Callithrix jacchus: one gene and its partners. Each later gene encodes a partner of the first gene's protein in a complex. Links are inferred from orthologs where the notes say so. Each region holds a gene or a part of one and is shown on either strand. Other genes may lie near its edges. The genes, in order: PPP2R1A, STRIP1, STRN3, PPP2CA, PPP2R3B, STRIP2 and STK24.

What was found.
Region 2: PPP2R1A (region 1) and STRIP1 share a complex: the UniProt entries of both Homo sapiens proteins name them as parts of the core of STRIPAK complex. The link is inferred for Callithrix jacchus from reciprocal best matches to the Homo sapiens genes PPP2R1A and STRIP1.
Region 3: the proteins of PPP2R1A (region 1) and STRN3 are in contact, whole or in part, in a crystal structure (PDB 6IUR), measured with the Homo sapiens proteins. The link is inferred for Callithrix jacchus from reciprocal best matches to the Homo sapiens genes PPP2R1A and STRN3. Residues at the interface, in NP_055040.2 of Homo sapiens: Leu10, Pro12, Val15, Asp18, Glu19, Asn22, Leu27, Asn30, Ser31, Lys34, Leu35, Thr37, Ile38, Leu40, Ala41; in NP_001077362.1 of Homo sapiens: Asn109, Leu110, Asp113, Arg116, Arg117, Lys119, Met120, Leu121, Tyr123, Ala124.
Region 4: the proteins of PPP2R1A (region 1) and PPP2CA are in contact, whole or in part, in a cryo-EM structure (PDB 8UO5), measured with the Homo sapiens proteins. The link is inferred for Callithrix jacchus from reciprocal best matches to the Homo sapiens genes PPP2R1A and PPP2CA. Residues at the interface, in NP_055040.2 of Homo sapiens: Trp257, Arg258, Tyr261, Met262, Glu297, His304, His340, Ala415, Lys416, Trp417, Arg418, His454, Val455, Tyr456, Ala457, Arg459, Glu460, Pro493, Asn494, Tyr495, Leu496, Met499, Phe503, Pro532, Val533, Ala534, Asn535, Phe538, Asn539, Lys542; in NP_002706.1 of Homo sapiens: Lys4, Thr7, Lys8, Asp11, Arg49, Pro51, Val52, Thr53, Glu67, Phe69, Arg70, Ile71, Gly72, Gly73, Lys74, Pro76, Asp77, Thr78, Asn79, Arg106, Tyr107, Arg108, Glu109, Arg110, Glu277, Leu278, Asp279, Asp280, Leu287, Phe289.
Region 5: the proteins of PPP2R1A (region 1) and PPP2R3B are in contact, whole or in part, in a crystal structure (PDB 4I5N), measured with the Homo sapiens proteins. The link is inferred for Callithrix jacchus from reciprocal best matches to the Homo sapiens genes PPP2R1A and PPP2R3B. Residues at the interface, in NP_055040.2 of Homo sapiens: Leu10, Ile13, Ala14, Ile17, Ala41, Leu42, Arg46, Ser49, Glu50, Leu51, Pro53, Phe54, Asp57, Ile59, Asp61, Glu62, Asp63, Glu64, Glu100, Glu101, Thr102, Arg105, Asp139, Trp140, Phe141, Asp177, Thr178, Pro179, Met180, Arg183; in NP_037371.2 of Homo sapiens: Ser122, Ser124, Ile125, Pro126, Thr127, Phe128, Tyr129, Arg275, Trp277, Ser278, Ala284, Glu285, Arg288, Arg354, Ser357, Gly358, Ala359, Val360, Thr361, Arg362, Gly363, Arg364, Gln367, Lys368, Glu394, Arg398, Asp401, Leu402, Asp403, Gly404.
Region 6: PPP2R1A (region 1) and STRIP2 share a complex: the UniProt entries of both Homo sapiens proteins name them as parts of the core of STRIPAK complex. The link is inferred for Callithrix jacchus from reciprocal best matches to the Homo sapiens genes PPP2R1A and STRIP2.
Region 7: PPP2R1A (region 1) and STK24 share a complex: the UniProt entries of both Homo sapiens proteins name them as parts of the core of STRIPAK complex. The link is inferred for Callithrix jacchus from reciprocal best matches to the Homo sapiens genes PPP2R1A and STK24.

The regions. Positions count from the first base shown.
Region 1 is NC_133523.1:45,600,625-45,604,124, reverse strand, and holds part of PPP2R1A (serine/threonine-protein phosphatase 2A 65 kDa regulatory subunit A alpha isoform), read right to left. Parts: intron 158-3,500; coding exon 1-157. UniProt on the Homo sapiens protein: The PR65 subunit of protein phosphatase 2A serves as a scaffolding molecule to coordinate the assembly of the catalytic subunit and a variable regulatory B subunit.
Region 2 is NC_133508.1:147,895,649-147,899,148, forward strand, and holds part of STRIP1 (striatin-interacting protein 1), read left to right. Parts: intron 1-665; coding exon 666-772; intron 773-860; coding exon 861-988; intron 989-2,197; coding exon 2,198-2,380; intron 2,381-2,733; coding exon 2,734-2,951; intron 2,952-3,500. UniProt on the Homo sapiens protein: Plays a role in the regulation of cell morphology and cytoskeletal organization. Required in the cortical actin filament dynamics and cell shape. Part of the striatin-interacting phosphatase and kinase (STRIPAK) complexes.
Region 3 is NC_133509.1:65,333,295-65,336,794, reverse strand, and holds part of STRN3 (striatin-3), read left to right. Parts: intron 1-420; coding exon 421-542; intron 543-1,166; exon of another isoform or gene 1,167-1,889; intron 1,890-3,500. UniProt on the Homo sapiens protein: Calmodulin-binding scaffolding protein which is the center of the striatin-interacting phosphatase and kinase (STRIPAK) complexes.
Region 4 is NC_133503.1:74,102,590-74,106,881, reverse strand, and holds the start of PPP2CA (serine/threonine-protein phosphatase 2A catalytic subunit alpha isoform), read right to left. Parts: upstream 2,801-4,292; 5' UTR 2,584-2,800; coding exon 2,482-2,583; intron 1-2,481. UniProt on the Homo sapiens protein: Catalytic subunit of protein phosphatase 2A (PP2A), a serine/threonine phosphatase involved in the regulation of a wide variety of enzymes, signal transduction pathways, and cellular events.
Region 5 is NC_133524.1:748,081-751,580, forward strand, and holds part of PPP2R3B (serine/threonine-protein phosphatase 2A regulatory subunit B'' subunit beta), read right to left. Parts: intron 570-3,500; coding exon 483-569; intron 16-482; coding exon 1-15. UniProt on the Homo sapiens protein: The B regulatory subunit might modulate substrate selectivity and catalytic activity, and might also direct the localization of the catalytic enzyme to a particular subcellular compartment.
Region 6 is NC_133512.1:117,744,071-117,747,570, forward strand, and holds part of STRIP2 (striatin-interacting protein 2), read right to left. Parts: intron 3,087-3,500; coding exon 2,883-3,086; intron 1,315-2,882; coding exon 1,079-1,314; intron 833-1,078; coding exon 767-832; intron 31-766; coding exon 1-30. UniProt on the Homo sapiens protein: Plays a role in the regulation of cell morphology and cytoskeletal organization. Required in the control of cell shape. Calmodulin-binding scaffolding protein which is the center of the striatin-interacting phosphatase and kinase (STRIPAK) complexes.
Region 7 is NC_133502.1:14,170,682-14,174,181, reverse strand, and holds part of STK24 (serine/threonine-protein kinase 24), read left to right. Parts: intron 1-80; coding exon 81-266; intron 267-2,802; coding exon 2,803-2,948; intron 2,949-3,500. UniProt on the Homo sapiens protein: Serine/threonine-protein kinase that acts on both serine and threonine residues and promotes apoptosis in response to stress stimuli and caspase activation.

The DNA of each region.
Region 1 (3,500 bases):
GGGGCATGTACTCAATGATGGCCAGCCGCACCCGCCACTTGGCATCCTCAGCCAGCTCCACAATGGCAGGGAGCAGGGACTGGGACAGCTGTCGGATGCCAATCACCTCGTTCACACAGTCCAGGTTGGAGATGATGTTCAGCCGTACCTCAGGGCACTGAGGAGAGGAAAGAAGGATTCTGAGAGAATGCCATGCACCCAGCAACCCAGGACAGGGTGGAAAGAGCTCAGCTGCATCAACTTGGTATAATGGACATCTCCTGAGGCCCTACACCTGCCCAAGCCCAGCTCCCAGTCCTGGGGACACAATAAAGGCACACAAAAAGCAGCAGCATGGATCACTGAGGTAAGTAGATTTTTAAACCTTACAATAGTCTCACAAGAAATGTTTATCCATTTTGAAAGGACTTAAATACAGCACCCTGGAAAAAAAAGGCAGACGTGCTTCTTCTAATCCTAGCTCTGCTGCTTTTTAACAAGGGTTCATTTTTGGATATCAATCCACAACATGGGAGAGGGAAGGGAAGAAAACTATTTCCTTATTAAAACTATTCTAGTCTAAAGAAATGAGTGAGCACTGAAATGAATCAATAAACCAAGTAACAAGGCTGGCAGGCCTGGCCTGTTCAAACCCTGCACATTCCGAAGATAGGACTGGCCCTTGCCCAGCTCCTGTCCTGGGTGCGTGGCCTCAAGGCGCTCAGTGCATGAGAAGAGAAGGTTCAGAGAATACACCTTACCCATTTAAAAAGACTTCTTTTTGGTGCACCAAGAAAAAAGTAGACTTTTTCATTTAGACAAGTTTATAAATTCTGGTGAGAGTCAAAATGTGAAATACAAAATTCATAAATCTAAAATGGAAGTCCCAAATACAAGTCAGATGAATTCCTCACACTAAGAAAACCATGCTGGTTCTTTTTTTCTCTGTAAGAAGTTGCCCTGAGACAGGCTGGCTGCCAGCATGTGATTACCATGTCGTGCTTGCTGAAGGTGAAACTAGAGCAAAAAATGCTTCAATTCTAGTGTACTTGCAGCATGTATGGGCTTGCCTTCACACTGGGCTGAGCCTGGATCCTTCCCGATGCCAGAGGCAAAATGCTCTCGAAAACTCTGGAGAGGTGTGAAATGGCATAGCAGACAACTTGAGGGGCTCTCACCTACCAACTTATGCCATTAAAGCATCAAAATAAATAAAAATTGTATATATAACATCTATAAAAGATTATAAAAGAAAATATGTGCATGTGAAGCATAACTCAGATATATTACTTAAGTCATAAAATTTGTCATGAACATTAATGATGATTTAAACTTTTAGCAACTGATGTAAATAACTGATTAAAAATACTATACTGTAGGATGGGTGCGGTGGCTCATGCCTGTAATCCCAGCACTTTGGGCCGGGGCCATGGCTGAGGCGGGCGGATCACCTAAGGTCAAGAGTTCAAGACCAGCCTGACCAACATGAAGAAATCCTGTCTCTAATAAAAATACAAAATTAGCCAGGCGTGGTGGCACATGCCTGTAATCCCAGCTACTGAGGAGGCTGCGGATGGAGAATAGATTGCAAGCGAGAGGTGGGGGTTGTGGCAAGCCAAGATCATGCCATTGCACTACAGTCTGGGCAATAAGAACTCCATCTCAAAAAAACAAAAAACATGCCAGGTGTGGTGGCTCAAGCCTGTAATCCCAGCACTTTTGGAGGCCGAGGCGGGTGGATCACGAGGTCAAGAGATCGAGACCATCCTGGCCAACATGGTGAAACCTCGTCTCTACTAAAAATACAAAAAATTAGCTGGGCATGGTGGCGCGTGCCTGTAATCCCAGCTACTCCAGAGGCTGAGGCAGGAGAATTGCCTGAACCCAGGAGGCTGAGGTTGCAGTGAGCCGAGATCGCGCCATTGCACTCCAGCCTGGATAACAAGAGCGAAACGCCCTCTCAAAAAAAAAAAAACAAAAAAAAAAACAAAAAAACCCCACATTGTTAATAACCCATTAATAGGGAATAACCCAGAACAAAAAATATATTTAAAATAGCACATTCTTTTCATTTTTCGTTTTTTTTTAAGATGGGGTTTCACCATGTTGGTCAGGCTGGTCTTGAACTCCTGACCTCAGGTGATCTGCCCCAGGTGGTCTTGAACTCCTGACCTCAGGTGTTCTGCCCACCTTGACCTCCAAAGTGCTTGGATTATAGGCATGAGCCACCAGCCCTGTCGCACATTCTTTTCAATGTATCAAAAAATTGACTAATTCTGGGGCTAAGAGATTATTCCACTGTAGCGTAAATGAACAACGTAACTTTTTGGGGCATGGGGGACTGAAATGTGATACTTTCTGTTACAGTATTTCCTCCAACTTCCTAGCACGCCTGTGTACAGAAAAGAAGGGGATGGGGAAGAGCCAAGGATTGAGGCCTTTGGGAACCAAGACGTCATATACCAGCAAACGATTGCACCATCTGCCCAGTTTTTCACTACCAAGGCAAAAACCACCATGTGGTCCCTCTACCTCCCGAACAATCTTGAATCCTTCCATATCACTGCAGCCTTTTCTCTACATACCCTCAATCTAGCCTCAGTCTTCCAGACTCCCACAGCAGCCTCTGGTTTGGTCTTCCTACATTTCTGCTGGCCACCTCACTTTAACCTTCCCTTTACATAAGCCTTAGGGTGCCTTCTAATACCAACTGTATTCTGGCTCCTGCACTTGCCCAGAGTCAAGTCCAAATTCCTTCCCCAGTGGTCACCCCAATGATCTCTCTAGTCATTACCCAGCACCTCCCCTCATCCTCTGTAATCCAGGTAACCTGAACTGCTAGATGTGATCATGTGACCCTCCCTGGCCAATGGGTGTATGGGGTACAAGCACGCGTGGGGAATCTTGTCCTTCAGAGAACTGGGTCTGCTGTTGTCTGTGCCTGACCCCTCCATGCCGGCTAAGATGCTAAAAACTGGAGCAGTTGCCTGAGACTCTGAGACAGTTGAGGTCAGCAGGGCAAACCCACCAGTGTAGGCCCGCCTAGACTGCTATGAGAGAAAAAAAAATCCTCCATCTAATTTAAGCCAGAAGGTATTCTGGGGTCTCCATTACAACACCTTAGCCTAAACCCTAAAAAACATGAACTCAACTGTAACAGCACCTTTAACACCTTAAGGGCATCATGGGATTGCCTGTACGTCTCTGCTGCCAGTCTCTGAAGGCTTTTGAGGATCAAAACTGTCTTATTTTAGGCTGGGCGTGGCACTTCACACTTGTAATCCCAGGCCTTTGGAAGCCAAGGAAGGAGAATTGCTTGAGAACGAGATACCAAGACCAACCTGATCAACACAGCAAGACCCCTGTCTCTAGAGCAAAAAAAAAATTTTTTTTAATTATCTTTATTTTATCTTATTACTTTTTTAAGATGGGGTTTCACCATCTTGGTCAGGCTGGTCTTGAACTCCTGACCTCAGGTGATCCGCCCGCCTTGGCCTCCAAAGCACTTGGATTACAGGCGT
Region 2 (3,500 bases), on another chromosome or scaffold:
AGGAACTGCTGAGGGCTCGACTTAGGTGGGGCTCTTGGTTGAGACTCCCAAAGGCAATCCAGGGTCAAGTGACTAATTAGAGCCACAGCTAAGTGTGAGCCTCCTCCTCACACTGTTACGAGGACCCGGGTATGGGGTGTTTTATATTTGGATGAAACACATGATGATGTTCCCTGGGCTCCCTGGGCCTTCTTTGTGTACACAGCTTGATCCTCATCTTCATTGGATTAGACCCAGCAACTTGCTAATGTTTCATGGCTGCCCAGGAGTTCAAGCAACTGCTAAACAACAAGATGACCCTCCAGTTTTTGAGGGTTGAAATCTGGCTGTTTTGTGAATTTGGAGTTTGTAGATTGTGGTTGTAGTGTTCCCTCCTGAGTGTTAGGATCGCTGGGTGTCACGTCCCAGCTCCTGCTTTCCACTTCCTCGTCATAAGCCCTGTTTTTTGTTCTCACTGTGACCCTACAGCTCACTACCACCTCTGTGGTATTTTCTCTTCAGGAAGCTTAGGGCAGTAAATGCTTTTAACCATTCTTGTTCATGTTTGTTTATTCACTACCATTTATTAATATTAAGCCCCTGCCTTGAGTAAGCACTTCGTTAGACACTAGGGTGCTCCCTTGACTCCCGATCCTACTCCATTGTGAGCTGGCTCTTGTCCTCAGGGTCCTGCTCAACATCATGTACCTGATAGTGGAGACTGTTCACCAGGAGTGTGAGGGTGACAAGGCTGAGTGGAGGACCATGCGACAGACCTTCAGAGCCGAGCTGGGTAGGACCCTGGGGATCCTCTGAAGAGGCCCTGCCTGGAGGAGGCAGGAGGCCTTGGGAGGGTCCTGATACCTTTGTGTCACCTCCAGGCTCCCCGCTGTACAACAATGAGCCATTTGCCATCATGCTGTTTGGGATGGTGACCAAATTTTGCAGCGGTCACGCCCCTCACTTCCCCATGAAGAAAGTTCTCTTGCTGCTCTGGAAGACTGTATTGGTGAGCACCTCCTTGGAGGAGAACTCGGGTGGTAGGGGAGGGGCAGTAGGAAGACTGTTCCTTGACTATCCTTTTGAATATTGAATGACGTGGTTATAAAACTGCTTTGGTAAGAAAAATATATATATTTAAAAAGCCGCTAAAGAGATGACAAAGAAGTGCCACTTTTGTTCCACTGTAGCCAGCGAGGACATAGGCCTTGAGTCAGAATAGACTGTTGATCCCTGGAAGCTGTTTTCTCAGTCACAGACAGCTCTCTCCCAGACAAGTTGCCTCTCATCAAGCAGCTCTGAACCTGGAGTTTGTAAAGGGATTTGAGGCAAAGTTAAAGCCTGTGTAACTGGGGCCCTGGTTAGATGTCATTTGAAGGGGCAAGAGTGAGCCCTGAGCCAGTCTTCATTTTCTTCAGGGTATACTGTCAACCTGATTCTGTGTCTAGGGAGGGAGGGACTGGCTGCCAGGGTGGGCCGGCCAGCACACCAGGCTTGGAGTGTTGTTCGCAGCCAGGCCATCCCAGGAGGAGTGGCGTGGGGAGATGGTGGAGGTGAGTTGGGACTGCTGCTGCACTGGGGCTCATCCCTCCTCCTTTCAGAATGGGTTGACCCTGGAGCCAGTAAGTGTAGGATTTCTCAAGAGTCATTGACGCATTTTATCTTGGACACATATTCTGTTCTTCACAACGCCTTGCTGAGGCCAGAGAGGAAAGCTGAATTGCGCAGAAACAGTAAAACTAAGCAGTGTAAAATTGCTGCATGGTTCTGGGGTTTCTGCTTCTTGGGAGGTGTTTAGTTGAAGCTTTTTTTTTCTTTCAAATTTGAGCATCCAACTGTATCTCCAATTTGACTTTGAAAGACTTGCATGTACAACTTGTGAAACATATGAGTCTTACCAACTTCTAGGAACTTGAAGGGTTAGGCTGTTGTCCTTTTTTTAAATTGAAGAGTATGTCATAGGTGCAGAGTTCAGTGTGTCTGTACAAGAGTCAGTCAGCCTGCATCTCTATACCCTTTCCTTGTTCCTTTTTCTCCTTTCGCTTGATGGTGTCACTGAATTCTTGTGAGTGGCTTTAGTCCCTTATTCAGAGGTTGCCTGGGTCTCTATAAAGAGACCCAGGTCATGATGTCATGGGTGCTTCTGAGCCTGACATAATGGTTAGGGACCAACCCTGTGGACATGTTGACCCTGGCTCTGCTCCCGTCTATGATGCAGTGCACGCTGGGTGGCTTTGAGGAGCTGCAGAGCATGAAGGCTGAGAAGCGCAGCATTCTGGGTCTCCCCCCACTTCCTGAGGACAGCATCAAAGTGATTCGCAACATGAGGGCCGCCTCTCCACCAGCATCTGCTTCAGACTTGATTGAGCAGCAGCAGAAACGAGGCCGCCGAGAGCACAAGGTGAGGGCGACAGAGGTCCCTGTGACTCCTGAGGGTCCTCAAGGTGCACGCTGGAGCAGTGCGGTCCTTGGAGGAGCAGGGCTACTGGAAATGAGCACCGAGTAGCCAGTCAGAATCATGCCTCCATGGCAAGGACACTTTGTCCCCTGCTCTGGTCTAGTTTATGATGTGTGCTCAGCACGTGGTGCTTTTGAGGGACCGGAGGAAGAAGTAGTTGATTGTTTGGCCCCCGTCTTGACTCTGCCTCTGGTTGTTCCACTGTTCTAAGCTCTGCCCGACACACCTCTGTGCTCTGTCTCTTCTGGTCTGTGTCCTCAGTTGGCTCTTGTCTCATCTCCCTTCCCTGGTTTCAGGCTCTGATAAAGCAGGACAACCTAGATGCCTTCAACGAGCGGGATCCCTACAAGGCTGATGATTCTCGAGAAGAGGAAGAGGAGAATGATGATGACAACAGTCTGGAGGGGGAGACGTTCCCCCTGGAACGGGATGAAGTGATGCCTCCCCCACTACAGCACCCGCAGACTGACAGGCTGACCTGCCCCAAAGGGCTACCGTGGGCTCCCAAGGTCAGGTGAGTCTCACACCTCCAGAGCATTCTTGGCTTCTGAAGCTAGAGCCTTCACACCCTCAGGCCTGCCACCTGGCCTGCGTCACCGTGAGTGGTCATCTGAGGGCAGGCTGACCCTGGCTCTGAGATGAGGCTCTTTTAAAGCTCCCTGTGCTGGCCTGAGGGTCTCAGGGAGGCTGGCCTTGCTGGTCTCACACAACATGGCCCCCATGTGGCTACTGAGTCAGCAATTTGAGTTAGCTCTTGGTTAGTTAGGCATGCTAGTGAAAGGGAATAGAAACAGATAAAAACAAGAGCATTTAAGCAAACATGCCCCCATCCACCCTGGGCTTGTGTATGACTTTTAACAGAACAGTGATGGATTAAGGAAGCGTTTCTTTAGAGCTATGATGAAAATGTTTGAGGTATATGTGGGTAAATGGGTGGAAAGGTACCTGGAGATACATAAATGGTGTCTGTTTGAGAGGCAGCAACTTAAGAAATAAAGTAGATGAATGTGTGAGAGGATATAGAAGTCACTTTCTTGATCCAGGTAAAGCCTCAGTTTTCAGT
Region 3 (3,500 bases), on another chromosome or scaffold:
TAGTTCATGCCTATAATCCCAGGACTTTGGGAGGCTGAGGTAGGCAGATCACTTGAGGTCGGGAGTTCGAGATAAGCCTGGCCAACATGGTAAAACCCCATCTCTACCAGAAAATACAAAAATTAGCTGGGCATGGTGGCGTGTGCCTGTGGTCTCAGCTACTTGGGATGCTGAGGCAGGAGAATCACTTAATCCCAGGAGGCGGAGGTTGTGGTAAACCGAGATCACCACTACACTCCAGCCTGGGCGGACGACAGAGTGAGACTCTGTCTCCAAAAAAAAACCCCACCATTCAAATGTATGTGTTCTCTTAAAACAGTTTTTAGATATAACATAAATTCAGAGGTTGGGAGAACGGAGATTTGAGTTCCTTCTTAGAATTTATCAGTAATTTTTTTTCACTCTCTTTTTCTACAATAGTGGCCCTGTTCTATCCTTAGCTATTAGTTCTAATGGAGACCAGTGTTTTAGTGGTGGTATTGATGCAACCATCCAGTGGTGGAATATGCCGAGTCCCAATGTGGATCCGTATGATACATATGGTAAGTAAAAGGATCAAAATGTATTTTTTTTTTAAGTGAATGGAGCTGACAAAAGTGAATGCCTCAAATATGATTACAAGGTTATTTAAACCTATATTAGTCACCTCATTTAGTTATTCAGTTTGCTAATAAATTGCTTTATTAAAGAGAAAAGTTAGGAAATATCATGCCATGGTTATTTAAACCTATGAATTGACACTTTCTCTGTTAAAAAAAACTATTAATTAAAATGTTAATTTAGGTCGTTACAAAAAGGAGAAGGAAACAAAATATAATCTAAATAACAAAATTTTAAACTTAAGAAATAGTTTATATATTTCAAAAATACCAAGCAAAAGACAATGGAAACAACAGCAAGGGTGTAAATCATTACAACTTTTTGGAGCCAAAAAAATTTTTGTTATTCTTAGCTTATATCTACAAAAACATTTTTAATTTCAAAAAACAAAAACCTCTTTGACTTACAAATGGAGCTTTTAGAAATCTGTCCTACAGAAAAGACCTACCTGGACCTGTGTTCAAATATATTTGTAAGGACATTGTTAATAATTATAAAACATTAAAACAAAATGTTTATGAACTCTTTGTTCTTTCTATTTAACACACACTTTGTGCCTACATTAGCTAGGCATTGTGGTAAGTACTATGTCAAGAAATAAGATCAGTCTAATGGAAAGTAGAGATATAAAACAAATAAGCAAGGTGATGGGATCTATGGTTACAAATTGTGATAAATGATAAGATGATAGGGTTTTGCTTGTGAGGGTCATAAGATGGGAATGCTCCCGGAACGTAGAAGTATCCCACCGTGGGTGAAAGTTCCCGAAGACCTGAAAGATCCAGAAGTGTTCCAGGTCCAGATGCGGCTGCTGGAAGCCATGTTCGGCCGGGACGGATGTCGAATCCCTTACATCGAGCAGGTGAGCAAGGCCATGCTCGAGCTGAAGGCTCTGAAGTCTCCAGATTTCACTGAGGTCGTGGTTTACAGCTCCTATACAAGCTTCGGGCCAAGCGGATACTCTAGTCTAAGGCTGAGTGGCACCGCCAGCACCAGGAACAATGGATGCTCAAACTTGAGGAAGCCATGAATGCCCTCGAACTCAGCCCTTGGATGAAGTGAACCAGCTTCCAACCAGGTTGAAGGCCAGGATGTAGAGATTAATTTGTGGCCAGAGCTGGAGTGATTTCTCCAGCTTGGTTTAAAATCTGTTCCAGGCTGAGGAGTTGAGGGAAAATCATCCCTTTAGGGGTCTCTACCTTGGGTCTTAGTCTTTTTGAGAATATCTCTTTGATGGTTGCCAGTAAAAGTTTTTCTTACCCATTTTAAAAATTAAAAACAAAAACAAAAACGATAGAGTACTGTAAGAGGGAGTAAAAGAACCTTTTCTAGAAGAATTAAGAAAGGTTTATCTAAAATCATGACATTCAAGCCAACATCTGAAGGATAAAAGCTACTTTCAGTAAAGAGTTTTAAGCCATGAAGTTATCTGATAAATGTAAGGTTTTAAAAAGGTGACTGTGTCTGGTGTGAGAAGAATAAATTGGGGGTGAGAAGAGTGGAAAGAGAAATACCATTTAGGAGGCCGCTGTCATACAGTAGTCCAGTAAACTAGGTGACAGACAATATTGCCAAGGTTAGAGTGGTGGTAGCAGAGCAGTTAGAAGTGGTTTTAAGATATACACTGGGGAAGTGTGGTAGAATAGAAAGGATTTATTGATAAATTATGTTGAGTAGATAAAGTGATAAGTGAGTGACTCTTAATTTGGTTGTATGTGTTTTTTAATTAACTGCTTTATTGAGATGTAATTTGCATATCACAAAATTCACCCTTTTAAAGTATACAGTTCAGGCTGGGCACAGTGGCCCACACCTGTAATCCCACCACTTTGGGAGGCCGAGATGGGAGAATCACTTGAGGCCAGGACTTCAAGACCAACCTGGGCAACACAGTAAGACCTGATGTCTACCAGAAATTTAAAAATCATCCACATGTGGTGGCATGTGCCTATAGTCCCAGATGCTCAGGAGGCTGAGCTGGAAGGATCACTTGAGTATAGGAAGTCAAGACTGTAGTGAGCTATGATGGTGCCAGTGTACTCCATTATAGAGAGAACCCATCTCTCTTTCTTCCTTTTCTTTCCTCTTTCCCCTTTCCCCTTTCTCCTTTCTCCTTTCCCCTTTCCCCTTTCTCTTTTACCTTTTCACTTTCCCCTTTCCCCTCCTTTCCTTCGTTTCTTTTGAAAAGCAAGTTATATCTCAATAAAACATTTAATTAAAGAATTTTGTAAAAGTTACGATAATCATTTTACTCCTAGTCATTTTTTTTTAGTGCTTTTCTTTTTTGAGACAGCGTCTCGCTCTGTCTCCTAGGTTGGAGGGCAGAGGCGTGATCTTGGCTTACCTCAACCTCTGCTGCCCAGGCTCAAACCATACTCCTGAGTAGCTGGGACTACAGGTGTGAGTCACCACACCCCACTAATTTTTGTATTTTTTGTAGAAACGGTGGCCATGTAACCCAGGGTTCTCTCAAACTCCTGGGCTCAAGTAATCCTACTGCCTTGGTCTCCCAAAGAATTGGGATAATAGGCATGAGCCACAATGTGCAGCCACAAGACCCCATTTCTTAAAGAAAAGTTAATGCTTAAAAATAGTATACAGTTCAGTAGTTTTTACTGTGTTCACAAAGTTGTGCAGCCATCATCACTAATTTCAGAACATTTTCATTATCAGTCATGAGTGACAAGAGCAACTAAGCATGTGATGGGAGCATTTATTGAAATGGGGGCTGTGAGGAGATTTAAGATGGTGAGTTCTGATTTTAGGCATGTTAAACTATAACAGTATCAAGTAGGTAATATACAAATATGGAACCCAAAGAGATTTCAATTGGAGATAAAAACATGGAGAGTCTTCTCTACTGATGATACATTAAGCTGTAAGAATGGGTGATACAGAGA
Region 4 (4,292 bases), on another chromosome or scaffold:
ATTGTTGATGGGATAACAAAATAATGGCCTCAGGATTTTTTTTTTAGTAACAATGACTTCTCACAGTATACATCTACCTTTACTATTAAAGTCTTTCATTTAAATCAGGCATCTTTAGGTGGGTAGAAGGCTTTTTTATATTATCGTTCCTTCTTGTAAGTGAAGAAATTGCCAACTATTCTCAAACAACTATCTTTTCCTCCCAAAATACTACTATTATATGTTAATCAAAAAAATTAGCCCTCAATATTTTCAAAATTACTCTTTAGAAGGCAATCACACCAAAAAGCATATATGCACCTTTCACCCAGAGATGCCACTGGCACACAAATATAAACAGTGAGAGACAGCTTTTGTTTTACTAGAAAGACTTGAACAAAAAATATCAGTTCATGGGTTTCACATACCCAAAAACCTGTCTTCAAATTAATTTGGTTTGAATAAGCTCCTGAAAGTTGAAATAATTACAAGTTATAAACAGTATTAAGGTCGTATAATGATGTCCACCAAAAAGGACCCATTCCACGGAAACTTTTATCTAACATCTACTCTCAAATATTATTTCCATCTTTTTTGGCACTCAGAACTAAAATTTGCGTAAGCTGAGCAAGCAATGGAGATTTACTTCACTATATGTTAGTTTTACAAAGATGTGGAAAGTAATAACGATGCATTAGCTTCACCCACCCCACTTTAGCATCCAGTATTATCTTATTATCTTCCATAGTTTCCAACACAAACCCTCTACTTCCATGCTCTATCTCCCACACATTTCCATACCATGCTTTTCCTTCCAACTAGATTCATAGTTCCTCAACAATAAGCATACTTAGTCTTCATTTATTTTCATTCCGCTCAAAAGAGTATGCAATCTTGGAGCTTCAATAGGTGCTCAATATTAAACACACTACTAATTTAAAAAGGAATTGACTGTATAATCTCAGGCCAATTTTAAACCTTTAAAATAAATACCAACCTCATTTGATGTGAGGTTGGTAAAGAAACAGGAGATTCAATACCTTGCTACCATTAAAATACATCTCCAAGATGATGTGCTACCTCATCAACTAGTAGTAGTTTTGTTCATGCTTGGGAGAAATAAATCTAAATCCGACGTACTTAAATTCCAATTGTTCATAACATGGTTTCTAAAACATGGACACATACACCAAACTCATGAATCTAATTTTCACATCACACCACAAACAAATCAGGATAATAGTTCTCCATTAATTCTTTTCACTAATACAAAATGATAGTATGATACTCCACTATTCTGTACTAAAGTGACATACTGCAAAGTTATTTTTGAAAAGAGAAGTTTAAAAGTGTTCACAGCAGAGATCAGCATTTTTGTGTACTCTAGAAAACTGAGTTACAAGAATTTAAAAATGCAACATACAGCTAATAACTAAATTGGCTACCTGTTTCCCCAATCCCAGGGGAAAACAAAACAGAATTAGCTAATACAAAATATAAAATTTAAGTGTTATTAAGTGGACTACAACATTCTATTTTCAATGCATGTGAGACATTATTTAAACACTAAGCACAATGTTTGGAATACAATCTTAGTCGACAGTTATTACTAATACTACTACTTGCAACCACAAAATTCTATCAAGTTAACTTTTGCAACAAAGAGAAGATACAAAATTTACCGCTCTTCCATTTTGTTGATTTTTAAAATAAATGGCAAAATGCCAAGTGTGTTAAGCTTAGAGAAGGCTTTGAGTCAGCAAATAAATCATATTCAACTGACACTTGATTTCCAGTCCAAAAGCTCCTCATGTATTATGACTTACCAAATTCCCCATTTCTTCCAACTATGAAAAATAAGTTACACTCCTCCAACTACCATGACCTTCGTAGAAATTAGGTTAAGGGAATAATTTTAAAATTCTTAAAGACACCCTCACTTTGGTTTCTGGAGAAGACCGCTTGATGAGTTTAATACAAACCACCCAGGGGTACTAAAGATGTGTGACCTTTACATATGTTCTGGGATATGGCCTAACAAGACCGCCTTTGGGGACAGTACCTCTGGACAGCTTTGGACCTAACTAGGCCTTGGGTACAAGTGGAAAGCCTCTTAGCCCACCGGAGAAGTCTAGGTCCCATTCCCAGGCCGCAGAATCTAAGCCCGCTCACCCTCAAAACCGTCCCTGATGCTGACCCACAGGGTCTCCGCTCCCCCACCCCAGCCACTTCGTCTGGCGCCAAGGCCGGGAGACTCAAAAGCCCAAGACCCGGGTGAACGGCGCCATTTTAGGCGGCGTTGGCGGCGACAACCAATCCCTGCGCGGGAGGCAGGGGGCGCCGGGTCGTTCGGGTGCCGCCGCCGGCCGGGCTGGGCGCCGGTCTCGGTGACTCGGGGGGCCCGGGCCGGCGGCCTCCGCCATGTTGCACCCTCCTCACGGCCTCCCTTTCTTCGGCGGGGTCTGCCCCACGGCTGCTGCCTGAACCCAGACTACACCTCACCTTCTCGCAGAGGCTCTTGACCTGGGACTCGGACAGCTGCTTGCACTCGTTCAGCTGCTCGATCCACTGGTCCAGCTCCTTGGTGAACACCTTCTCGTCCATGATGCCTCCCGCCCCAGCCGGCTGTGGCTCCGCGCTGCTCCCGCGCCGCCGCCCGCACACGGGCCACACGCACACGCCGCCGCCGGCTCCTCGTGTACTTCTGGCGGCTGCTGAGGCTGGCGCTGGCCCGCTGGCTCTCACCGCAATACTCGGCCGTCGGCCGTTGCGCCTCCTCCTCCGCTCGCTCCGGCACCAGAGATCGGCTCTCTGTAATGGCGGCCGCCTGGCGTGGTGACGTCACGCCGGCGTTAGGAGGTGGCGGGGAGCGGACGGGAAAAGGGACCGGGAGCGAGCTGCGCAACTGCGATGCCCAGCCCCGGCGGCCGCACTACCGGAGTTGGGGGCGCTAACTGGGGGTCAAAGCGCAGGCGCGACTTAGCCGGCTGGTAACAGTCGCCTTCGCTTTTAGGGCGTGGCTCCCGGAGGGCGGGTGGTGGGGGAAGGGAAGGATGGAGTTTGAGCGTGCGCAATGCGCACAGCGGCGAACCGGACTAATCCCTTAGCGCTACGCCCCGAGAGGTGAGAGATTGGGCCACGCGCAGACGCAGACCGGATGGAAGTGGGGGTTACTGTCTGTCTGTAACTGGTTCCCCTGGGAAGGCTGTTCTGGTGATGAATTCAGCTCCTCGTCTGGGGCCCGGCAGTCGCGAGAATTGCGACCCCATGGCTCCTCCGGGGTGCAACAGCGCTGGAATTGTGTGGGTTTCCCGCATCTCGGGGGCAGGAATGGGCAGCGAGTGGCCGCCTGGTTGGAATAACCACCCCCACCTCTGGGCGCGGTTGGTGTAATTAGGTCACTCGTAGGTGGAGGAGCGAGTGCCTACCGTGGGAGTGCCGCGCAGTGCACCTGACTTCCCCGGCACACACCAGTCCCCTGACCTAGGTGTCTCGTCGGGCGCGATGGCGATGGCGAGGTTTGGGCTTTTCTTTGAGCCTCAAACCGCGGCTTGGTTCCAGGTGCACGGCTCCTCGCCGATGGTTGCTTTCCTCCAAGTTTGATTCCCCTTGGGAATGAGACCCTCAGCCCCTGCCCTCCCTGGCCTACTTTCTAGAGGAGAATCCCATAGAAGATGGATGCACCTGTCCTGACCGCGTCCCGATGGCGTTAGAAGCAGATGTGATCCGCGCTTTAAAGAGAGCTTGCATACCCTGGGATTGAATCTCTGTCTGGTTGTGAATCGCTTTGGAGTTTGCAAAACGTTTTCACATTCCATTGTCCCTGCTTTTACATACACATCTGGTTCCATAGAGCGCCAACTATGTGCCAGATCCAGAGGGGTAATCCAGACGGATGACCAGCCCTGGAGCTTGTATTCTCAACAGTATGGGCTAAATATGGTTTGGGATAGACAGAGATCATGATGCCCCCGAATTTGACAGATATAGAAGCTTTCCAAAGAACATTTAGCCATAAAGGGAAAGGCAAGAGCTGAACCTGGTCGCCTTTTCCAGGCGCCCCACCCTCAGTATCAGCCAACTCTTCCACACCAAGTGCTCAGCAGTGCTCGGAAGGAGAGTGCTCACTCTGCGGCTCTGAGGGCATCATCCCCACCAACAGGCTGAAGAAGGCACTGGAGGCCCCAGCAGCCAATAGCAAGACTGAAAATCCTCCTTTATCCAAGACAACCTGTTTGGCGAGGCCAACTGGCTTGGCCTCCTGGGCTGGAAATTGTTAATTCTGCTTTCCCTTCATACCTCCCCTTAGTGTG
Region 5 (3,500 bases), on another chromosome or scaffold:
CAGCAGCGCTACGTTCTGCCAAAGGACATGGGGCGGGGGCTGAGCTCCGAGGTGGCTGCGGGCAGGGAGAAGGCTGGGGCGGAGGGCGGGGCCGCTCCGTGGGTGCTGGGGACGGGCAGCTGTGGCGGGGGTGCTCCGAGTGGGGGCAGTTCCAGGTTGGGGGAACTGCAGCATGGAAACAGCTTGCTAGGCGGGAGTGGGGGTGCTGTAGGCCCAGGGCTCCCAGGACATGGGGAAAGGGAAGGGAGGGGGTGGGAGACAAAACGGGGAGGAAAGGGAAGGAGGGTGGTGAGAAGAGGGAGGGGACGGGGACGGGGGAGAAAGGAAGGGGGCGGGAAGGGGTGGAAAGGGAGAGGGGGAGGGACATGGGGAGGAACAGAGGAGGGGGAGGGAGAGGAGGAAGAAAAGGGGATGGGGGAGGAGAAGCGGGGGGGGGGTGGAGGAGAAGCGGAGGGGGAGGAAAGGGTTAGGGGCCGCCGCACCTGCAGGAATGAGCTCCTCCGCAGCTCAGCGCAGGTGATCCTGCCGGACCAGGACCGGTTCACTGCGTAGAAGATGCGCTGGATGACCTGCGGGGGTGCGTCAATGTCCTGGGTGTGCAGACCCCGAGGGGCCTCACCCCTCGCAGAGACGGGGAACGGGGGCAGACGGGCACTGCCTTGGTCTCAGCAGCCCCAGGCCCACCAGGGAACAGGCGGGGGCAGTGGGAAGGGCCCTGCGGGAGGCACCACCCCAGGCTGCGCTCGGGGAGGGTCTGGTCACGGGTGCCCCTGTGGACAGGTGGGAAAAGGGGCGTGGACACCCCAAAAAACCACGGTCTGCACGACAGCCTGACTCGATGAATGCTACACTCTGGCCGGGCGCGGGGGCTCACGCCTGTCATCCCAGCACTTTGGGAGGCTGAGGCAGGCGGATCACTTGAGGTCAGAAGATCGAGACCATCCTGACCAATATGGTGAAACCCTGCCTTTTTTTTTGAGACGGAATTTCACTCTTGTCACCCAGGCTGGAGTGCAATGGCGCGATCTCGGCTCACCGCAACCTCCGCCTCCTGAGTTCAGGCAATTCTCCTGCCTCAACCTCCCCAGTAGCTGGGATTACAGGCACGCGCCACCGTGCCCAGCTAATTTTTTGTATTTTTAGTAGAGACGGGGTTTCACCATGTTGACCGGGATGGTCTCGATCTCTTGACCTCGTGATCCACCCGCCTCGGCCTCCCAAAGTGCTGGGATTACAGGCGTGAGCCACCGCGCCCGGCCGAAACCCTGTCTTTGACTGTGGGGAGGCACCACGTGGGGCACCCAGGGCGGCTCCTCGCTGAGCGAACCGTGCGCTGACCACACGTGGGGCTGCATCCCGGGACGAGCAAGGCCTCCTGCCTCCCATCCAGGAGGTCATCCCACTCCCTGCGTGAGGCCTCCTGAGCCTGTCGAACCCCTGACAGCTCCAGGTTATCTGAAGTCTCAGCAGAGGAACCACAACCTATCACGTCTACTGTGTAGCCAGAATGACTGAGACAGACGTGCGGGAAAGAGGAGGCACGGACCCACAAACACCACTGCTGAAAGTCACAGGCTGCGTTTAGGATGTGTGCGCTTCCCCACCTGAGTCCTCCCACACAGCAGACATGTGCTCCCACCCACCTCAGAGTCGCACCACACAGGAGACGTGTGCTCCCACCCACCTCAGAGTCCTCCCACACAGCAGACATGTGCTCCCACCCACCTCAGAGTCCTCCCACACAGCAGACATGTGCTCCCACCCACCTGAGTCCTCCCACACAGCAGACATGTGCTCCCACCCACCTCAGAGTCACACCACACTGGAGACGTGTGCTCCCACCCACCTGAGTCCTCCCACAGCAGACATGTGCTCCCACCCACCTCAGAGTCCTCCCACACAGCAGACATGTGCTCCCACCTACCTCAGAGTCCTCCCACACAGGAGACGTGTGCTCCCACCCACCTGAGTCCTCCCACACAGCAGACATGTGCTCCCACCCACCTCAGAGTCCTCCCACACAGCAGACATGTGCTCCCACCCACCTCAGAGTCACACCACACTGGAGACGTGTGCTCCCACCCACCTGAGTCCTCCCACACAGCAGACATGTGCTCCCACCCACCTCAGAGTCGCACCACACAGGAGACGTGTGCTCCCACCCACCTGAGTCCTCCCACACAGCAGACATGTGCTCCCACCCACCTCAGAGTCACACCACACTGGAGACGTCTGCTCCCACCCACCTGAGTCCTCCCACACAGCAGACATGTGCTCCCACCCACCTCAGAGTCGCACCACACAGGAGGCGTGTGCTCCCACCCACCTGAGTCCTCCCACACAGCAGACATGTGCTCCCACCCACCTCAGAGTCACACCACACTGGAGACGTCTGCTCCCACCCACCTGAGTCCTCCCACACAGCAGACATGTGCTCCCACCCACCTCAGAGTCGCACCACACAGGAGACGTGTGCTCCCACCCACCTGAGTCCTCCCACACAGCAGACATGTGCTCCCACCCACCTCAGAGTCACACCATACTAGAGACGTGTGCTCCCACCCACCTGAGTCCTCCCACACAGCAGACATGTGCTCCCACCCACCTCAGAGTTGCACCACACTGGAGACGTGTGCTCCCACCCACCTGAGTCCTCCCACACAGCAGACATGTGCTCCCACCCACCTCAGAGTCACACCATACTAGAGACGTGTGCTCCCACCCACCTGAGTCCTCCCACACAGCAGACGTGTGCTCCCACCCACCTCAGAGTCACACCACACAGCAGACATGTGCTCCCACCCACCTGAGTCCTCCCACACAGCAGACGTGTGCTCCCACCCACCTCAGAGTCACACCACACAGCAGACATGTGCTCCCACCCACCTGAGTCCTCCCACACAGCAGACATGTGCTCCCACCCACCTCAGAGTCACACCACACTGGAGACGTGTGCTCCCACCCACCTGAGTCCTCCCACACAGCAGACATGTGCTCCCACCCACCTCAGAGTCCTCCCACACAGCAGACATGTGCTCCCACCCATCTCAGAGTCCTCCCACACAGCAGACATGTACTCCCACCCACCTCAGAGTCCTCCCACACAGCAGACGTGTGCTCCCACCCACCTCAGAGTCCTCCCACACAGCAGACGTCTGCTCCCACCCATCTCAGAGTCGCACCACACAGGAGACGTGTGCTCCCACCCACCTCAGAGTCCTCCCACACAGCAGACATGTGCTCCCACCCACCTCAGAGTCCTCCCACACAGCAGACATGTGCTCCCACCCACCTCAGAGTCGCACCACACAGGAGACGTGTGCTCCCACCCACCTCAGAGTCCTCCCACACAGCAGACGTGCTCCCACCCACCTCAGAGTCCTCCCACAGCAGACGTGTGCTCCCACCCATCTCAGAGTCCTCCCACACAGCAGACGTGTGCTCCCACCCACCAGAGTCCTCCCACACAGCAGATGTGTTCCCACCTTAGAGTCCTCCCA
Region 6 (3,500 bases), on another chromosome or scaffold:
CTGGGTAATCCAACCAATGTATCTGTGTCCCTGTAAAAGGCCAGACATACAAGATCATAAGCTTCCAAAGTACAGAGAACTGCTGATACCCCAATACTCCCCTAGAGTCACATGGACCGTGCTACTTTCAACAACCTCTACCCCCAGTACCCTGGATCTTCCTCTGCAAGCTAGCAGGTCCCCAGTCAATGCTTCAGGACACAAAAATAATAATGGTACACAGAAATGTTCCTAGAAATCAGGAGATTTTTATAGTCTTTTGGGTACTCACTTGGTGTGGGAGTGGTAGGTTCCTACTTCAAAGAATATATACCCCAATGACACCTTGACTCTGAAACCCCACTAAGAAAGCCTCAATTTTCAGGAGGCCAATGGAAAGGATTCATGTGGATAGGGAAATGAGGGAAGATGGGATCTATTCTGACCATGTCTCTTCTTCACAGAATTTTAGCCCATTAGAGCAGGAAGAGGCCATAGAAACACCTAATCCAACAACATCATGAAACAATTAAGGCCCAAAAGAGAAATTATTTGTTGCTCCAAGTCCTACAGTTGGCTGAAAACACAAAAGTTCTTCGAGTAAAAGTGGAAGAAACTCAAGGAAAAAAAGTCCATAGAAAGAACCCAAAGTCATTACTAGGAGTTGTCCACGGCCTGGGTGCTCTAGGTTGCATTATGACTACAAGGCACCCACCATTCCTCATTACAAGCTACCTGGCCCCCTAGGAACCACTCTATAGCCAGTTCCAACCATTCAGTCACTTACTGGCCCAGGGTGAATCCGATGAACTTGTTCCTGCTCATCTCCAAGAAGTGCTCAATGTCCTTCTGTCTGAGAGGATGATGGAAAGACCAATCCCAGAAAAGGGAAGAAAAGCAAACTTTGAGAGAGAGAATCTTTCTGGGCTCCTGCCCCTCCAAATCAGAGGACAGGAGCACTGGAGAAAGGTAGCAATCAACAGACAGAATTTCAAACTCAGGCTAACTTAACGAGTCTTGAATACATAGACTACTCCATCTTGGGCTTTTGGTGACTGAAACCTCAAAGCATAGGGGACCCTGATGCTATTAAACCTACCTGACCTTTGGGGCCCAGGGCAGGCCCTTGGGAAAAGCCACCCGCTCAGCAGAGAGGGGTGCCTGTGAGGGTGGAGGTGGCACCAGAGGGTCCTGCTCTAGCAGGTCTAACTCTCCATCCAAGGTTCTTTCTCCATCACCAGCAGACTCCTCTTCCTCCTCTGCGGCTGGCTCCTCAGTCTTGAAGAGATCCCTTTCATTGTAGATGTCCAGGCTGTCCTGCTTAGTAAGGAGTTGCTGGAGGGGAAAGAAGGGAGAGTAGGCATGCAGAGATCTCACTCTGGGCATCCTTGTCTGAGGCTACCTCATATCCACAGGCCTCCAGATTTCAGGGAACATGGAATCTAAAAACAGCCCTTGTGAAAATATCCCATTCTGTATCTCAACCCTACTGTCCCCACTGGGCCCAATAACAGGACAAGAAGTTCTCAGGCAACCATGCCATTAGCCAGAGAACAAAGCATAGATAATCCCAAAGTCACAGTTACTTAGTTTTCAGAAAGCACTGATGCCTTTTTTTTTTTTTTTGCCAGCACTTTCCTTCCTAATTATGCTCTGCTTAGGTGAACATTCAATTAGTTTGCCTTCTGTGAAAATACACCAGCTGGCGGACTGAGGAAGAGGAGGACAGAAGCTTACTGCTAGGCAGAGGGAAGCAAGTTTGGAATTTTAAATCTTGTCACAAATAAAAGAAGATTGGACAGAAATAAGCCAAAAAGTTAACAGTGACTGTCTCTGGTTGTTAAGATTGTGGGTGATTTTTCTTTTCTCCCTTCGTCACATTTTTATATTTGTTCCAAATTTTCTACAATGAGTAAGCATTACTTTATAAAACAAAAATAAAGGTTAAAAAATTGCATTGCAGATAATAGAGACTGGATTACTGAGCACTACTGTCTAGCCCTGTTGATAAACTGGCAGCAGGGCAGTTTGTAAGAACAAAGTCAGGTCTCACTATAACTTGTCATTCTGACCTTTTCAGGACAGCAGACTATAGTTATGTGCTGCACAATGATGCTTCAGTCAACAATGGACTGCATATATAATTGTGGATCCATAAGATTACAATACTGTATTTTTACGGTGCCCTTTTCTAGGTTGAGATACACAAACACCATTAGGTTACAATTGCATATGGTTTTCAGAATAGTAACCTTCTGTACAGGTTGGTAGTCTAGGAGCAATAGGCTATATGCCTAGGTATGCAGTAGGCTATGCCATTCAGGTTTGTGTAAGTACACTCTATGATGTTTGCTCAGTGACAAAACTCCATGACACATATTTTAGATTGTATCCCTGTCACTAAGTGTCACATAGCTATATACATAGAACCCTACCCAGTCATCTCTTAAATGTAAGCCTTTGGTTTCAGGGCTGGTTAAGAATGTGGCTAGCTGACAGTAAACCCTCTTGCTATCTCAAAATAGTAAAATGCCTTACATCCCAGAAAAATGGATTTTCTTGGAGCCCTCTTCAGGTGCCCTAGGTCCCTATCCCCAGGATTATACCCTTAATTGTTGTTCAGAATGTAAGAAACTCTAGCCACTGAGGTCCAGGCCAATGATTCTGTAACAAGACATGGCTATACAATGTGATATCACAGTGTTACATCACAACAGCCCAGGGGCTGTCAGGGCTGGGGGATAGAGGCCAAAGTAGAGACTCTAAGGTTTCAGGTTGGTCATCGGGCAAACCTGGGCAGGATGAGCCCATTTACTGCCTTTTCCTACCATACCCAGAGTAGCTTAGAATCTTGATTTTTGGCCAGTCAGTGTCACAGTACCACTGTTTGCTTCAGTCCATACCCTTCGAGAGCCACGGCGGCCTCGCAGCTTGGAGGGTGGAGGTGCCAGCTGAGATTCCCCCAGGTCAAGAGTGTAAGAAGGTGGGGAGGCAGCACGCATGCTCTTCACCACCTGGATACTGTCTTCAGCCAGTGGAGGTAGGCCCAATTCTGCCCGCTTCTGTACTTTGAGAGTCTGCAGATGCTCGAATCCACCTAGGGTAAACTAAGGCAGAAACAGAAAAGGGGCAAAGAGAGAGGAAGGGAGGGAAGTAACAGAGAGCCAAGGTCAGGGAAACATGGATGAAAAGAAAGAGCCACAACCCCCAGTCCCTTCAGACCTTCTCCTTAATAAGGAAGCAGTAAAGCAGGAAGAGGCAAATGTGGTTACAATCCCCACAGCAACTGAGGAGCTCAGGGGCCAGGACAAAGCATTATTTACTACCCCAGTATGGGAAACATAACCAGAAGTTAGGAAAGAGATTCCTGGGTGCCTCCTCAAAAAAAAAAAAAAAAAAAAAATAGGAAACTATCTCCTTTTTTGAGGAACACATCCAGATACTATAAACCCCCAGAGTCACTCAATTTCCTCTGCAGTCAATATGTGGTTCCTCCTATTAGGCCTGCCTTGGGAGATGGG
Region 7 (3,500 bases), on another chromosome or scaffold:
GTTTACCGTTTTTCCCCTAAATATTGTTAATTGGAATTGATTCCTGCTTGGTGTTGGTAAAGGTGCTTTTCTTGTTGCAGGCAGATATCTGGTCCCTGGGCATAACAGCTATTGAACTTGCAAGAGGGGAACCACCTCATTCCGAGCTGCACCCCATGAAAGTTTTATTCCTCATTCCAAAGAACAACCCACCAACATTGGAAGGAAACTACAGCAAACCCCTCAAGGAGTTTGTGGAGGCCTGTTTGAATAAGGAGCCGAGCTTTGTAAGTTTCCTGGGGATCTGAACATCCCTCCCTATGTGAGTTTTGACTTGGTTTAGATACATCCTGTTGGGATTTCTTTTCAGCTGTCTTCATGGAATTCCTCATTTTTCTTTTTCTATAAATAAGTATGATTGACCTCTTTGGTTTGCAAATACATTTTATAAGTATTAGCAATTTCCTTATTTTGCTTTAGATTTCTACCATCTCATACTTCATTGAATCTGAAGAATATTCTCCTTAATATTAAATGTGGAATCATCAAAGTTTAATATCGATAGAGGATCAGGCCATAAACTGTTACACTGTTTTTAGGAATGGGAAAGTTTAGCTTGGAAATAAGTGGCTAAATATGTCTTTAAAGTAAATGTTTTCAATTTCCAGATGGCATATGTTAGGAAACAAAAGATTAGAAAATACAAATACAACCAAGCCCCTCTTTGCTATCCCCGCCTCTTCCTGCCCACTTCTCTTTTTAGGTTTAATGGACTCTGGCAGAGCCTTACAGCAGTAACGACTGCCTGGCTTTGCCCTGTTTTCTCTTTGAATTAGGACATTTATTTGAAAGTTGTCAGTGTGTGTCGGTGTTGGATGCAGCACCGTATGTCATTGATTTGTTTGAGTTTTCCAGCTGAAGGCCAATCTGAGCACCCCTTTTCCTAACTCTTAATTAAAAATGGGTGGTTACTTTTACAAGAGCACCGTGGTTTTCTAATACACCGGTTTTGGTAAAGGAATTAAGTGGGAAATGCAATATTTTCTTTTTTTTTTTTGAGACGGATTCTCACTCTGTCACCAGGCTGGAGTGCAGTGGCGTGATCTTGGCTCACTGCAACCTCCGCCTCTTGGGTTCAGGGGATTCTCCTGCCTCAGCCTCCTGAGTAGCTGGGACTACAGGCGTGCACCACCACACTCAGCTAATTTTTGTATTTTTGGTAGAGATGTGGTTTCACCTTGTTGGCCAGGCTGGTCTCGATCTCCTGAACTCGTGATCCACTGCCTCGGCCTCCCAAAGTGCTGGGATTACAGGTGTGGGCCACCGTGCTTGGCCAGAATGCAACATTTTCTAAGCACCTCTAAGGAGATGCAGCCGGAGACCACCACGCCAGTGATTGATCACCCCATCAGCGTGAGGTAGTGGTGAGGCTTGTCCCACGTGCCATGATGCTCTGCATTTTATTGCATGATGATGTTTGTTGCACCCACCATGCACTGGTGGAGATGCGGCCGCTTGCAGGCATGCCTTCCCATGCACAGCATGCGTCTAATACGAGCTTATTCCCCAGCACACACCGCTCCACCCTACAGCTACTGAGGAGCCGGCTGAGAGGCGAGAATATGAGCACCTCAGGGGTAGTTGGGGTTTTACCCTCATGTGGACAGAGAGGGAGAATACCTGAGGTGATCAGGTTTCTCACGAGTTTGAATCTGAAAATGTGCTTGACTCTTGTAATCAAGCTTTCGTAGTTTGGAGTGAGTGGGATCTTGGTTTGACTTGGGGTTTGGGTGTTCCTTCTGTCTGTTCCAATTTGGGCCAAGCTGGTTTCCTTGGGAAGCACATTCCCTATCACTGTCACCATCTTCAAGGCAGGTAGCTGGCTGGGTGCTGCTTGCGGTGGCCATGCTGAGCTCAGGGCATGGGTGAAGTCCTCAGCCCAATAACAAGGGAAGGGAGGGACCTGGGCAACAGCCTTTCTAAACTGGGACAGTGGGTGATGAAGAGCACCCCGCTCTTTCAACAGACAGGAAAAAGGGCATCTGCTGGCTCCCTTATGGTTTCTTTGAGATAATTCCAAATTGACATTTCTATTATGTGTCTGGATGTGGTCAAACATTAATACAGAAAGTTAACAAAGCGGCCAGGCACGGTGGCTCATGCCTGTAATCCTAGCACTTGGAGAGTCTGAGGAGGGTGGATCACCTGAGGTCAGGAGTTTGAGACTAGCCTGGCCAACATGGTGAAACCCCATCTCTGCAAAAATAGAAATAATACACTAGGTGTAGTGGCACATTCCTGTAGCCCCAGCTACTTAGGAGGCTGAAGCAGGAGAATCGCTTGAACCTGTGCGGCAGAAGTTGCAGTGAGCCGAGATCTCACCACTGCACTCCAACCTGGGCAACAGAGCAAGACTCTGTCTCAAACAAAAAGTAAAAGCGACACAGAACAAGTATTTTGTCAGCATTTGTCATAAAGTATTTTATAAATTAGGAGATAAGCTCTCATGAATAATCCCTCTGAAGTTCTGTGCAGAGTTTTCTGTGGAAGTGCATTTATCTGGGGGAAGTTCTTGTGCTTTCATTGGATGGCTACCTGTAGAATATTAAGGACCTCCTTGGAAACTCAGTGCCATGCCCACCACAGCACCCGGAGTCCAGGCGTAGGTCCTGAGACTCTCATCTTGGGGCGAGTCACAGTGAGAAGAGCTGTGGAGTGGAGTCCAGTCATCAGGCAGGCTGATGTTTTGAGGCTGAAGTGTGTCCTTTCGGCGGGGATGGAGAGCTTCATCTCATACTTGGGTTGTTGTGTGTGTTTTTCCAGAGACCCACTGCTAGGGAGTTACTGAAGCACAAGTTTATCCTACGCAATGCAAAGAAAACTTCCTACTTGACCGAGCTCATCGACAGGTACAAGAGATGGAAGGCGGAGCAGAGCCATGAGGACTCAAGCTCTGAGGATTCTGATGCGTAAGTGGCCCCTGGGTGGCCCAAGCATGGTGTAGGATGGAGCCGCTGGTCCTTGTCACTTGTTTGGTGTGCATTTCGTTTCTTGTTGAGTTTTTTTCAGATAATCCAGGTTGGTGGCGATTGTTGTGTTAGACACAGCATGGGCCTGTTTGGGCATCATTTAGCCTCTTGATGTTGTCAGTGGAGTTTCTTCGAGGGAACTCTTAGAGCTGTGCGTAGGGGTCCAGACCTGGCTGTTTCACTGTGTTCTGTTTTGTTTCTTTCTGTTCTGTCTTGTTTTCCATTACACTTCATGTTCTTAAAATCCTGACAAGGTGAAATTGTATCACATGAATACCTGAAAGGCTAGAAATGCATGTTTTTGTGATTCCCTGTTGAGTCTGGTAGAAGCTCTGTACCAGGAAGTGACTTACGGAGAACTGCTTTCAAGTTCGGCATCTAGGAATTCCTTTGGCATCAGAGGCAAAGTGGGGCTGCAGCCATTTGTGTGGGGAAGGCTGGGGAGGCAGTCGGGCCAGGGATGTGTCAGGAAGTGGGAGCCTGGGAACTCAT